Linked DNA regions of Xenopus tropicalis. The protein of the gene in region 2 binds, or shares a complex with, the protein of the main gene of each other region. Links are inferred from orthologs where the notes say so. Each region holds a gene or a part of one and is shown on either strand. Other genes may lie near its edges.

Region 1 (4,105 bases), about 42 Mb from region 2:
AATAAATGAAAGTGATTATTACTTTGACTGTTTAATAAACATGCAAACAATGTTAGTAAATTTATGAATGGATGTGTCCAGGAAACCCGACACAAAGCAGGGGCTACCAATTGCCCCTCTGGTAACCCGAATGGAAATCATCTGGTTCTGCACAGTGCTCTCATGGACCAGATGATGATCATTCAGAAATATTCACTGCTGTATTTCTGAGTGATTATCCATTTAAAAGAACAGAGTGCAATTCACTTAAATGGATTTGCTTAAATGCCAATTTGGAGTGTTTCTCTAATGGAGAATCACCCTGTACGAGTGCCCTAAAAGTACAAAAGCACTCAGTACCCAAAGAGAAAGCTAGGGAGAAATAAACAATTACACAAATATTTATTTAAAATAAATAGCTATATATATATATATATATATATATATATAGCTATCTCATCTGGCAAAAGCACCCTCATCACAAAACCCATGATAAATATATGAAGCCTATGTAGTGTAATAATTACAATCAAACTTGTACCTTTACTGGAGCTTCCCATAAATCTTCCCCAGTTACAAATCAGCGATGACTGTACAGCTGCCCAGTAAGTCAAAACTGCCCATGCCAATATATCCACTAGATACCCAATCCCCTCCCATTTATTAGCAAACCACACCCTTTCATGGCAGCTCTCTGACAACTACATCAAACTGCAGTGGCGGTGCGCAAGATAAAGGCTGGCTGGCATCCTTTAAGGCAAAGGGCTGCCATTGCTCAACAGCCTGGGAAAGTGCCCAAGAGATGCTGAAAGGCTTGGCAGCATAAACAATTCTTAAATCAGTTTTTATTAAAACAGTGCACAAAAGTTTTAAATGAGTTTTTCTTCTATTTTTGGTGTATAATACCACGGCAAATACTTATTACTTTTTCACTATATGTCATCTTTAATAGACAGTTGCCCATTAAAGCTAAATTTTAGTATGTTATAGAATTACCTATTCTAAGCAAATTTTCAATCGTCTTCATTATTTATTTGTTATAGTTTTTTTTTTTTTTATTATTATTATTTGCAACCTTCTTCCAGCTCTTTGCAGTTTTCAAATGGGGGTCACTGACCCCAGCAGCCAAAAAAACCCCGATTGCTCTGTGAGGTGACAGTTTTATCGTTACTCTTTGTAACTTTCTTTTCTATTCAGGCCCTCTCCTATTCATACTTCAGTCACTTATCCACACCACTCCCTGGTTGCTAAGGTAACTTGGACCCTAGCAACCAAATAACTGCTGAAAATTCAAACTGGAAAGCTCCTGAACTGAAATATCTAAAAAAAACTACAAAAAAAAAATAGAAGAAGACCAATCGTAAATTGTTTCAGAATATTACTCTCTATATCATACTAAAAGTTAACCCAAAGGTGAACAAGCGCTTTAAGCGAGTCTTCTGGTTTCCAATAACCATGAATGAGGCTCAGGAATGTTAGCATTATTTGAGAAGCAAATCTGTCAAGCAGTTCAACTTAACTGTGGAAAATGATCCCAACAAATTAACATCTATGAAAATTCTATGGAAAAACTGAAGTGTGTTCTTAAAATCATTCTTTCTTGCATCCATTCTTATCTTAATAGAGGTGAAATTCTAATCCAACTAGTTCACCCAACCTGAGCCAGTCACATCTGAAAGTACCCTTTTTATCTCCATGAGGCCTAAACCAGAAAATATTAAACAGGATGAATTTTGAGCAACATAACCTACTCAGTTTCAATTATACAACATTTTCTTTTATTTCTTTTAGTAGGGTATGTTGAGAATGCATGGGAGTATGCAATTTTTAAGTCTTCTTCTAGATAGTGTGCTACTCGGTAGCAATTAAACCAAATGCAGGTTAAAAGTGAACCCTTGAAGATTTAGATATTGGATTACAAACTGGCCTAACAGTGTTGATGTTGATTCTGCTTGAATCAACATCAAAATGCAATCTCATCCTGTCCTGGGTCAGCTGATTAACCTCTTACATACTGACTGGCATTATCACCCAAGCTGTATTTCTTGTTAGGAAGGTCAGCGCTGGTGTACTCATTCAAAACACTTGTTCTGAGGACCCTGATCTGGAGCAGTGTTAATATTAGTCTTTTAGAAAGAAGTCAAATTAATGTGTGTCGGAAAGCCTTAACTAGTTAACAGAAAATGCTGCAATAGTGCAAAGTTTGCCCCAGGTAGAATACCCATAGCAACCAGTCAGCAGATAGCATGCATAGGTCTACTGCAGTTTGAATAATGAAAGGAAACATTTAATAGCTTGGGGAGGGTCAGAAGCCCTAAAGCAAACTTTGAACCTACTTTTGCTTTGGTTAGTATGTTCTTTGTATTTAGCCACCCAAAGTGCAAAAAAAACCATTTTGAAATGGGTAATATACGTAGACTACTAGTTACCTAGCTATTTTACATTGGGTCAGTAATTAATTTAGGATGAGGGTTCCTTTAAGTGCTGTAGCAGCCACTCTTCCCCTACCTACCACAACTTTAATAATCCGAATATAAACGAATAGGAACATCTGAATGAATGTTATTTTTGGGTTAGTAGAATTCAAACGGAATGTGTTGCTCATGCTGTTTGCATTTGCCAGCCATGCTGAATAAGGATGCACTAGCTCCTCTGTCCCCGTTTCCCCTCATGCTAAAGGAAAATAAGAAGCCTGTACTTTCCAAGCATCTTTCTCAGTCAAGCAACTTACAACGTTCATGATACAATTAATTGCTTACCAAACTTTCAACGTGTCGAACCATTTTGGACAGTGGCGACGGCCGACTTCTTCAAACTCAGCGTGACACAGCAAAGCACTAACCTCAGGAGATAAGTCTAGCAATTACCGGGAGGGGAGGGGCCCGCGAATGGGCGGGGCTAGTGTATAGCGTATACAACAATATCTTTCTATTCTAGCAAAGTAAAAAAAGGCGCGGTCTAGAGCGCAATGGGCGGGTCACTAAGCTATCCGAGCCAATAAAGAGAGGCCAGCGTTGTAAAGGCGTGGTCAAAATCAGCGCCTTCACGTGAGGACTACGCACAACAAGGGAGTCTGGGCAATGGGTGCGGCTAGGGACCACTGGCCGCATTATGGCGTCAGGGGAAGATGGCGGTAGGATATTCCGAGAAGAGGGAGTGGACTGTAGGAAATGCGCCAAGTTCAGTAAGGCTAGAACAGCCTCGTGTGAACTGGGACAAGTGGGAGGAGGCGCGTATAACGGTTCCTAGCGAAGGGGCGAGGTTAATAGCAGAAAATTACTCGTGACTTGGTTCCCAAGGCGCCTTGTGTAGCTTAGTGCCCGCTTTTGTTGGCGGATTTAGAACGTGGCTGCTGCTGCTCGCCTCGGTGTTTTATAAGCAATAAATGAATTGGTACTATAAGATTATTCGGGTTTAGCTATGGTATGAAGTTAACTAACTGAGGTCAAAAGTAATAGCAACGTGAGTTAAAATGAAATACAGGAGTTATTTATTCCTAGAAAATGTCATGTGGAGAGTCAGAGTTCAGTGTGGGTCCATTCATGTCGGTAGTATAAATGTTGTTGCCAGTGGCTAATTTTTGGGTACATATATTTTTATTTTCTTGGGAACCTAAATAGAAATTAGCTGTATCTATATTTATAGGGGGTATCTATACACTTTCTTTTTATAACTGTCCCTGTTTAAAAGGAGCAGATAAAAGGTTATAGGGTTGCATTTTTTATATTTGCTGATGTTATTAATAGCCAAGAAACATAAAAGCAAGCAAGTAATGGTATAGGAACCCTTATCCAGAATGCTCAGGGCCCAGGGTATTCCGGATAAGGGGTCTTTCCTTAACTTGGATCTCCATACCTTAAGTCTAAAAAATCAATAAAATATTAATTAAACCCAATAGGGTTGTTTTGCATCCAGTAAGGATTATTTATATCTTAGTAGGGATCAAGCACAAGATACTGTTTTATTACTACAGAGAAAAAGGAAATGAGTTTCACAATTCTGAATTATTTGATTAAAATGGAATCTATGGGGGACAGGCTTAATGTAATTCAGAGAACAGATTTCCAGATAAGGGATCCTATACCTGTTCATGTGAAAAGGTTGCTACCTTACAGCAACGCATGAC
Region 2 (2,761 bases):
TTGTTGAAGGTTTCTGGTGGAACCATGACAGAACTCCTGGATGCCTTAAAACTGATGCATTACACTGAAGCTGTTGAGGCCATTGAGCAGTCACAAGCTATCCTTAAGCTGTCTGGGACTTCTACGCCATCTTCAGAGGCACTGCTTCCTGCACAGAGAAGAGGTGAATATATGTGATGTTCCATTGTGTGTATAACATTCTCACTTACCACAGTTTGTGTTACACACTGAGCAAGGTCATTCAGTTGGTAGCACATCTGCTTTGTAGCCATTGGGGCTTCAGTTCAATCTGGCCTCGGCACTATCTGCAAGGAATTTGTATGGTCCCTCTGCATCTATGTGGGTTTCCTCTAGGTACTCCAGTTTCCTATCACAATGTTCCATCTAGAATGTTTTTCTCAGTTGGAACACTCGCTGGAGAGTTCTAAACTGTCTCTGGAGTCAGTCTTTGCACAAGAGCTATTTACAGGGAGTTTAGGGATTTTTATGGGTGATTAGAGGAAAATAAACCTTACAACACCTTGTGCAATGCCAAATGTCAGCAGGGATGGTATAAAGGCCACCGCAATTGGACTCTGGATTAATAAATTAAATTTTATTATCTAGCAGTGTCATGGAAAAGTCAGGAGAACAGTTCCTGCCTGCATGCAAAATGGCAACGATAGAGAGGAATAATGGTTAGGGTCCCTAGTTCCCACTGAAAGCAAGTTGTAAGTGTTTTAGACCAATAATGTCCCCACGCACAAAATAAGGGTCACGCAGAAGAGGTTTTAGGTTTGCAAAGATGGGAGTTAAAGAACTTGTCTGATCTCAAACCAAATCAACACTCGTGAAAAGACTGAATGGGAACAAATCACCCAAATGATGTCCATAATCTGACGGAAAGTCTTACTAAAAGAGTAGCACAAACTATAAACAAGTTGCATTTCTAAGAGAAGCAGTACAGGTATGGGACCCCTTATCCGGAAACCCATTATCCAGAATGTTCCGAATTAGGGAAAGGTCACCTCCATTATAAGCAAATAATTATAATTTTTAAAAATGATTTTCTTTTTCTCTGTAATAATAAAACAGTACCTTGTACTTGATCCCAACTAAGCTATAATTAATCCTTATTGGGGGCAAAAAAGCCTATTGGGTTTATTCAATATATAAATTATTTTTAGCAGACTTAAGTAAAAGATCCCTTATCCGGAAAACCCCAGGTCCTGAGCATTCTGTACTGTGTTTATCAAATATTTAGTCAGTATCAAGCGATCACATAGAATAGAAATGAGAGAAAAAGACCAAACTGACTCCTAGTAATGGTAATAGAATATAGTTACTGCCATAGCATAATGAGAAGAGCTGATTAGTAGGTGTGTGATAAAAAGAAATAAATAATGGCGGTTTGGGAGGGAGACCCCTGCAGGGAACTGAAGTGGTAAAAAGGAGTACTGATCTCTTTTAAAGAGAGTTGCATCAACTTAATATTTTATAAATATGCGCATATAATTTTTATGCAGCTAATTCATTATAACTGATTTCTTCCTTTGAAATGACACTTTGTGCAGATTCCCCCATGTTCGATGTTGGTTACCTTAAGCTGCAGGACACTGATAGTACGTGCGACAGTGGCGTAGAGACATCCTTTCAGAAACTGAGCCTTTCATATTCGGAATCTCTGAAGGAGACAGAGACAGTTTGCCCAAAGTTTTCCCAGGAACCAGACTGTACTCTCATCTGCAACAAGTGATAGGCAAGTGTTGGACTCTGTCTTACATGCACAGCGAGGCTCAGCAGCTTGAACAAATACACTGGATATTCAAGAAAGCCTGGGCCTGGTACAATTTAAAACACTTCTTTGCTCATGCATATAGTAAGCTAGCGAAAAGAATATATATAATTATATATATGCAACTTTTAAGGACCTAAGCTTCTGGGTTCTGGGCATCACACTCTGTGTATTGCTTATCCCTAATTGAATTAGGATGTTGCATATTTACTTATTGAATCATGTTGGTTTAAAGTCTCTATGGATTCTGCATGAGTTCCTATTATACACCATCAGAAAACTACACGATTCAAAAAACAATTCAGAAATTAAACTTCCCAGTTAAGTTACTGTCATTTGCAAATGTTGGCAATATATTAAGAATGGCTAGCAATCATTTAATAATGTTTTATGCCTTGGTTTACTACAGTAAATATTATATATTTTTCTGAAATTTAATTTTTATTGTGTGTTTTATAATAAAATGATAAAGGAAAGATGTTTATCAAAAAAAGGAGAAAACTGTTTTGTATTTGTCCAGTCTTTGTTAGCCTGTTAATTATGTGAACACAGTAAGAAAATGAAAGTGTTCTGATTGGATGCTGGCTGTTAATGCAATAGGGCAATTTTGTTTTTATGTTTGTAAATTGGTTCTATGTGTAATTACCATGACCATATAAAAAAAAACACAAGGGTGAAGCCAAATGCTTTAATACAGGTCATGGAATTTTAAGGTGACTTCTAATATCCTCATATTTTAAAACAGGAAGTACAATATAATCAAGTCAAGTGACAGAAATTACATCACTAAGCAATAATTATAACTGATATAACATGGCACAATTTAAAAATATAAAAATGACTGGATATTGGGGGGGTGGGGTTAACAACAAATTTTTTCCACTATTTTTTGTGCTAAAACTCCAAATATTTGAATTCTGATTCAAAAACTTGAATATTAGATACTTAAAGGAGAACTAAACCCTAAAAATGAATATGGCTAGAAAT
Region 3 (3,959 bases), on a different chromosome or scaffold from region 2:
CCATGCCATTACTATGATGAACTCGTCTCTAGGTCTCACCTCATCATCATTATATTCATATTCGGAGTCAGAACTGTCTTCCTCTTCACTCTCTGGAAGGTACTGCAAATTCTTGTGTGTCACTTCAACCAGCTGTTGTTGAATCAGCATGTTATTTCTGCCCCATGTGAGCTGGCACGGAGAGTAGCCTTGGTACGTGACTCTGTTTACATCTGCTCCGTGCTTAAGCAGCAGTTTCATCAGGTCGTAGTTCTGCAGGTCCACGGCCATATGCAGCACAGTGCGACCATTGCAAGGCTCCTGTGGTGAGGGAAACAGAAATTTCTCTTAGATCTAGAGGCAAAATTGAATCCAATAGACATGGCAGGAAGAAACATCAGTATGTAGCCAAGTGAAGTAGGGGGAATACTGACCTGGGCATTTATATCAGCCCCCTTATTAATGAGATTTTCCACAATTGCAAGATAGCCATGGATCGATGCCAGGTGGAGGCACGTGTGACCTGCATCGGAAAGAAAGATATTAGCAAGGCAGTTCTAATTCTAATTTGCCAAGTAGCACAACAACACACGTCTAAAGGTTTATAGATTAAGTTTGATACATACCATCATAGTTCACAGATTGCAGAAGTGCTGGCAGTTGTTTCTCACAATACTGGAAAATGACCCCAACTCCCCGAAGCGAGCCCTGCTTGCAGGCAATGTGCAAGGCGGTGTTGCCACAGAAGTCTTGGATTTCTGGATCACAACCAGCCTGGAGAAGTGACTGGCTGATGTCTTGTTGTTCGGTGATTACTGCCAGATGTAGTGCTGTCTGCAGAAAAGACATTAAAAAAAAAAAGAAAAATCAGTAAATTCATTCTCATTAAACACAAAATTGAACTTGCAGAATAAGCTTGTACTATATTCTATCCCTCATGAACATGCTATGAGTGCACTGACTATTAATATTTTAAGTGCTGGCCAACTTACATGTCATAGGTCAATTATTCCACAAACTGGCCCTCTATTATACTTTATATGTTAAAATTCCTTTGGAGGGCCACATCCGGCCCACGGGCCTCCAGTTGGACAGCCCTGCCCTAACCGACAATGGTGGCACATGACAAGCTAATCTAGAAATAAAGTTTTTACAAGGTTTAGAAAAAAAATAAAAAGTAAATTACCTGGTGCAGATTATTCTGCTTGTTCAGGTAAAAATGGTCCCTGTATGAACGTTGGATTGCCTCCTTCACCAGGGTTTTCTCTTCATGGATAATTGCCAAATGGAGAAACCTAGAAGGGAACATAAAAAGGACATGTTAAAATAGAGAAGCAAATTTGTGTCATTTAACCATAAAAAAAGAAAAGATGAACTAGCAGGTTTATGGGAAATGACAAACTAGCTTTCCAATCTTAGCATCTTATTACAAAATGTCATTTCTGTATTTACTATTTCATCATTCAGAAGTAGAAAATGTACCCCCCCCTCCCCTTTGGGAACCAGTAAGTGAAGTGGTGTTAAGGTTCAGTGTGTGGGAAAGATCGAGGTGAATAAAACTTCATAAATTTAGAAACTGCCAAGCAATAGGAAATAATAATTCATAATGAACCTATTTCATCATAGCGGCATGTCGGTGAGCTGCAATACTAGTCAGTGGTGACACAAGTGTGTACTTCCCCCTCCCCCAGCCAACTATGCAATTGTGTAAGTCTGGGGATTTTTTCTTCTCTAGATCTGTCTGTTGTTTTCCGCTTTCTGCTGTGAGTGTGAGAGTGTGTGTGTGTGCAGTTGTGTTCCTGGCTACTGGCCAGGGACTTTCCAAAGCCAGAGTCCTGCCCCTGGGTGCCTGCCAGCCCCCACCCCTCTGAGGCAGCAAGTCAGAGAACAAGGTGTCCTCCCACCCCCCCTCCCTCCAGCTCACACGAAGAAGGGAAAACCCAGACAGATATGGCGTCTCTTCTGCACCAACAAAAAAATTCCCCTACCAAGAACAAACATGCACCAAGCCATCTAACAGCTGCCCGGCGTTGCTGCATGCTTGCAAATACCAATGCATGATATAAAAAAAGCATTAAAAGCACAAGGGTTTTTAACTATTTGCACAACTTACTAATACTGCATGTTTATGGTTGCATGAAAAAGCTGCACAATAAATTGCAGTGTTATGCAGTGTAGCCTGCCCCATGCACCTAACTGTGCATTCACCATAAAGAAGTCATGCATTAGTAAATATCTACATATCCTACACTAAACACTGCCCCAAACCTAGGTGTCCCTGTTATATATATATATATATTAGTGCAGCACTATAGAGTACTATCCCTTTATCAGTATATACACTGTGCAAGGCAGATGTAATGGTTTTAGATGTACTAATACTAAGGTTCATCGCCCCTATACAATATCAGTAGATACTGAGCACAATCCCCAGCCATATAACGAACCCATTCTCTATCACTTACGTGTCTCCATCTTCGTTGACCTCTTTCTTCCATGGCTCCGGCTCATAGTTCGATGTGTCCGGCGGGCCCTCCATTCTCATGTTGCTGAGGTCAGTAATGATAGCCGTGTATTCCTCCTCCTTCAGGGAGTCCAGGCCGCTATCAATGCGATCGTCCTGCAGCAGTTTGTCCTTCCGGAGATCCCTAGCTTCTCCCTCCATCATATTCCCTTGGTAATCGTGAAAAGGCACAGACATGGCGGCGGCCGGTTGTTGAGCTTCCCCGCAAAATAGCTTAGAAGACACTGTAGAATCCCAGTTGCGATAGTGAAGTTCTGTAGCTGTAGCCTCCTCTATACTAATCCCATCCGATCAGAGCGACTTCTGGTAGCGATCTGGCAGCTCCCTCCCCCAGCAGGCTACTTTTACATATACAGCCGGGGTTTTTTCTGGGTGGAGCCGAGCTCAGTTTCCTACTTGTGAACTATTATGTACTCTGGGAAATTCCAAGAATAAGTCAGTATAGGAACACAATGAACCTGACGGAGCCAGTTCTGTGGTACAATAAAAGGAAGAGCGCAGAAATATGTACAAGGCTCAGAAATTCCCTTTTTTCAGACGTGCGCAGCTACTCCATGTACATTCCTCTCAGCACACTCACCATTCCTGGGACACACTGGGGGGATTCGGGCAAAAATACACATTAGTTCCCCACATCATACTCGGCATTTATATGCGTTAAATATACCTTCGTCTGACAGACTATTGATATTATGCTAAATACATAAGAGCTCAACGTCCGGGGAGCCATTTGCATTTTGCACCTTAACCCACACACACAACCGACTTGCACCTAATGATTGATGCTAATGCCATTTTGTTTTATTTCAGCAACTTCCAGAAACGAGGGGTTTACAAACAATGCAACTTTCGCGCAATGTTCCCCAAAAGGCTGCAAAAATTGCGTCATAAGCAGCAAGATTACACTGGGATTCTGGGGAATAACGTTGCATTGTGGGTGAAACATGGAATTTTGCACTCTTTTGTGCATTGTAGTAAGGCTTTCCCACTGGAAAGAAATACAGGTCTTCCTAAATTTTCATCTCTCTACCCAGTTAACATTGGGATATTGCAGTATTTTAACTGGTCAGGCCAGTATAATAACCTCCAGGTGGCAATCCTAATTGCAGTTTGCATTTGCTTTAAAAAAAACATAAGCCCCTTTGTGCATTATTGTTGGGATGAAATGAGATTGTATGAATTTAATAGTTATTATTTTTATAACGATAATAGTTTCAGGTACCTTGCTTAGGTGAAATAACTTAATTGCCATTTGCCGAAGGTTATCTGTCCGTAATTCTTGTGTGGGAATAAAAGTAGTAAACCAAAAACATCATGGAATACTTTGACTATACTATTGTGCGCTCTGCACTAGTGATGTGCCCAGGCCCGGGCCTAGGGCGGCATAAACATAGGGGCGGCATGCTGCCCCGCCGCACGCAAATTTCAAAATTTTGCTCCCATACGGAGCAATGGG

The links.
Region 1: the proteins of nfkb1 (region 2) and uncharacterized protein LOC100170420 are in contact, whole or in part, in an NMR structure (PDB 1MDI), measured with the Homo sapiens proteins. The link is inferred for Xenopus tropicalis from reciprocal best matches to the Homo sapiens genes NFKB1 and TXN. Residues at the interface, in NP_001158884.1 of Homo sapiens: Arg56, Phe57, Arg58, Tyr59, Val60, Cys61, Glu62, Gly63, Pro64; in NP_003320.2 of Homo sapiens: Thr30, Trp31, Cys32, Pro34, Met37, Ile38, Asp58, Val59, Asp60, Asp61, Gln63, Ala66, Ser67, Val71, Lys72, Pro75, Ser90, Gly91, Ala92.
Region 3: the proteins of nfkb1 (region 2) and nfkbia are in contact, whole or in part, in a crystal structure (PDB 1NFI), measured with the Homo sapiens proteins. The link is inferred for Xenopus tropicalis from reciprocal best matches to the Homo sapiens genes NFKB1 and NFKBIA. Residues at the interface, in NP_001158884.1 of Homo sapiens: Lys251, Ile252, Val253, Arg254, Met255, Asp256, Arg257, Thr258, Ala259, Pro326, Lys345, Leu348, Tyr350, Ile353; in NP_065390.1 of Homo sapiens: Asn108, Asn109, Leu110, Gln111, Arg140, Tyr181, Pro214, Cys215, Asn216, Arg218, Tyr248, Gln249.

What each region holds. Positions count from the first base shown.
Region 1 is NC_030677.2:116,011,451-116,015,555, reverse strand, and holds the start of uncharacterized protein LOC100170420, read right to left. Parts: upstream 2,801-4,105; 5' UTR 2,763-2,800; coding exon 2,739-2,762; intron 1-2,738. UniProt on the Homo sapiens protein: Participates in various redox reactions through the reversible oxidation of its active center dithiol to a disulfide and catalyzes dithiol-disulfide exchange reactions.
Region 2 is NC_030677.2:73,607,267-73,610,027, reverse strand, and holds the end of nfkb1 (nuclear factor NF-kappa-B p105 subunit), read left to right. Parts: intron 1-9; coding exon 10-163; intron 164-1,553; coding exon 1,554-1,735; 3' UTR 1,736-2,261; downstream 2,262-2,761.
Region 3 is NC_030684.2:109,511,895-109,515,853, forward strand, and holds the start of nfkbia (NF-kappa-B inhibitor alpha), read right to left. Parts: upstream 2,801-3,959; 5' UTR 2,681-2,800; coding exon 2,445-2,680; intron 1,275-2,444; coding exon 1,166-1,274; intron 814-1,165; coding exon 606-813; intron 503-605; coding exon 414-502; intron 301-413; coding exon 40-300; intron 1-39. UniProt on the Homo sapiens protein: Inhibits the activity of dimeric NF-kappa-B/REL complexes by trapping REL (RELA/p65 and NFKB1/p50) dimers in the cytoplasm by masking their nuclear localization signals.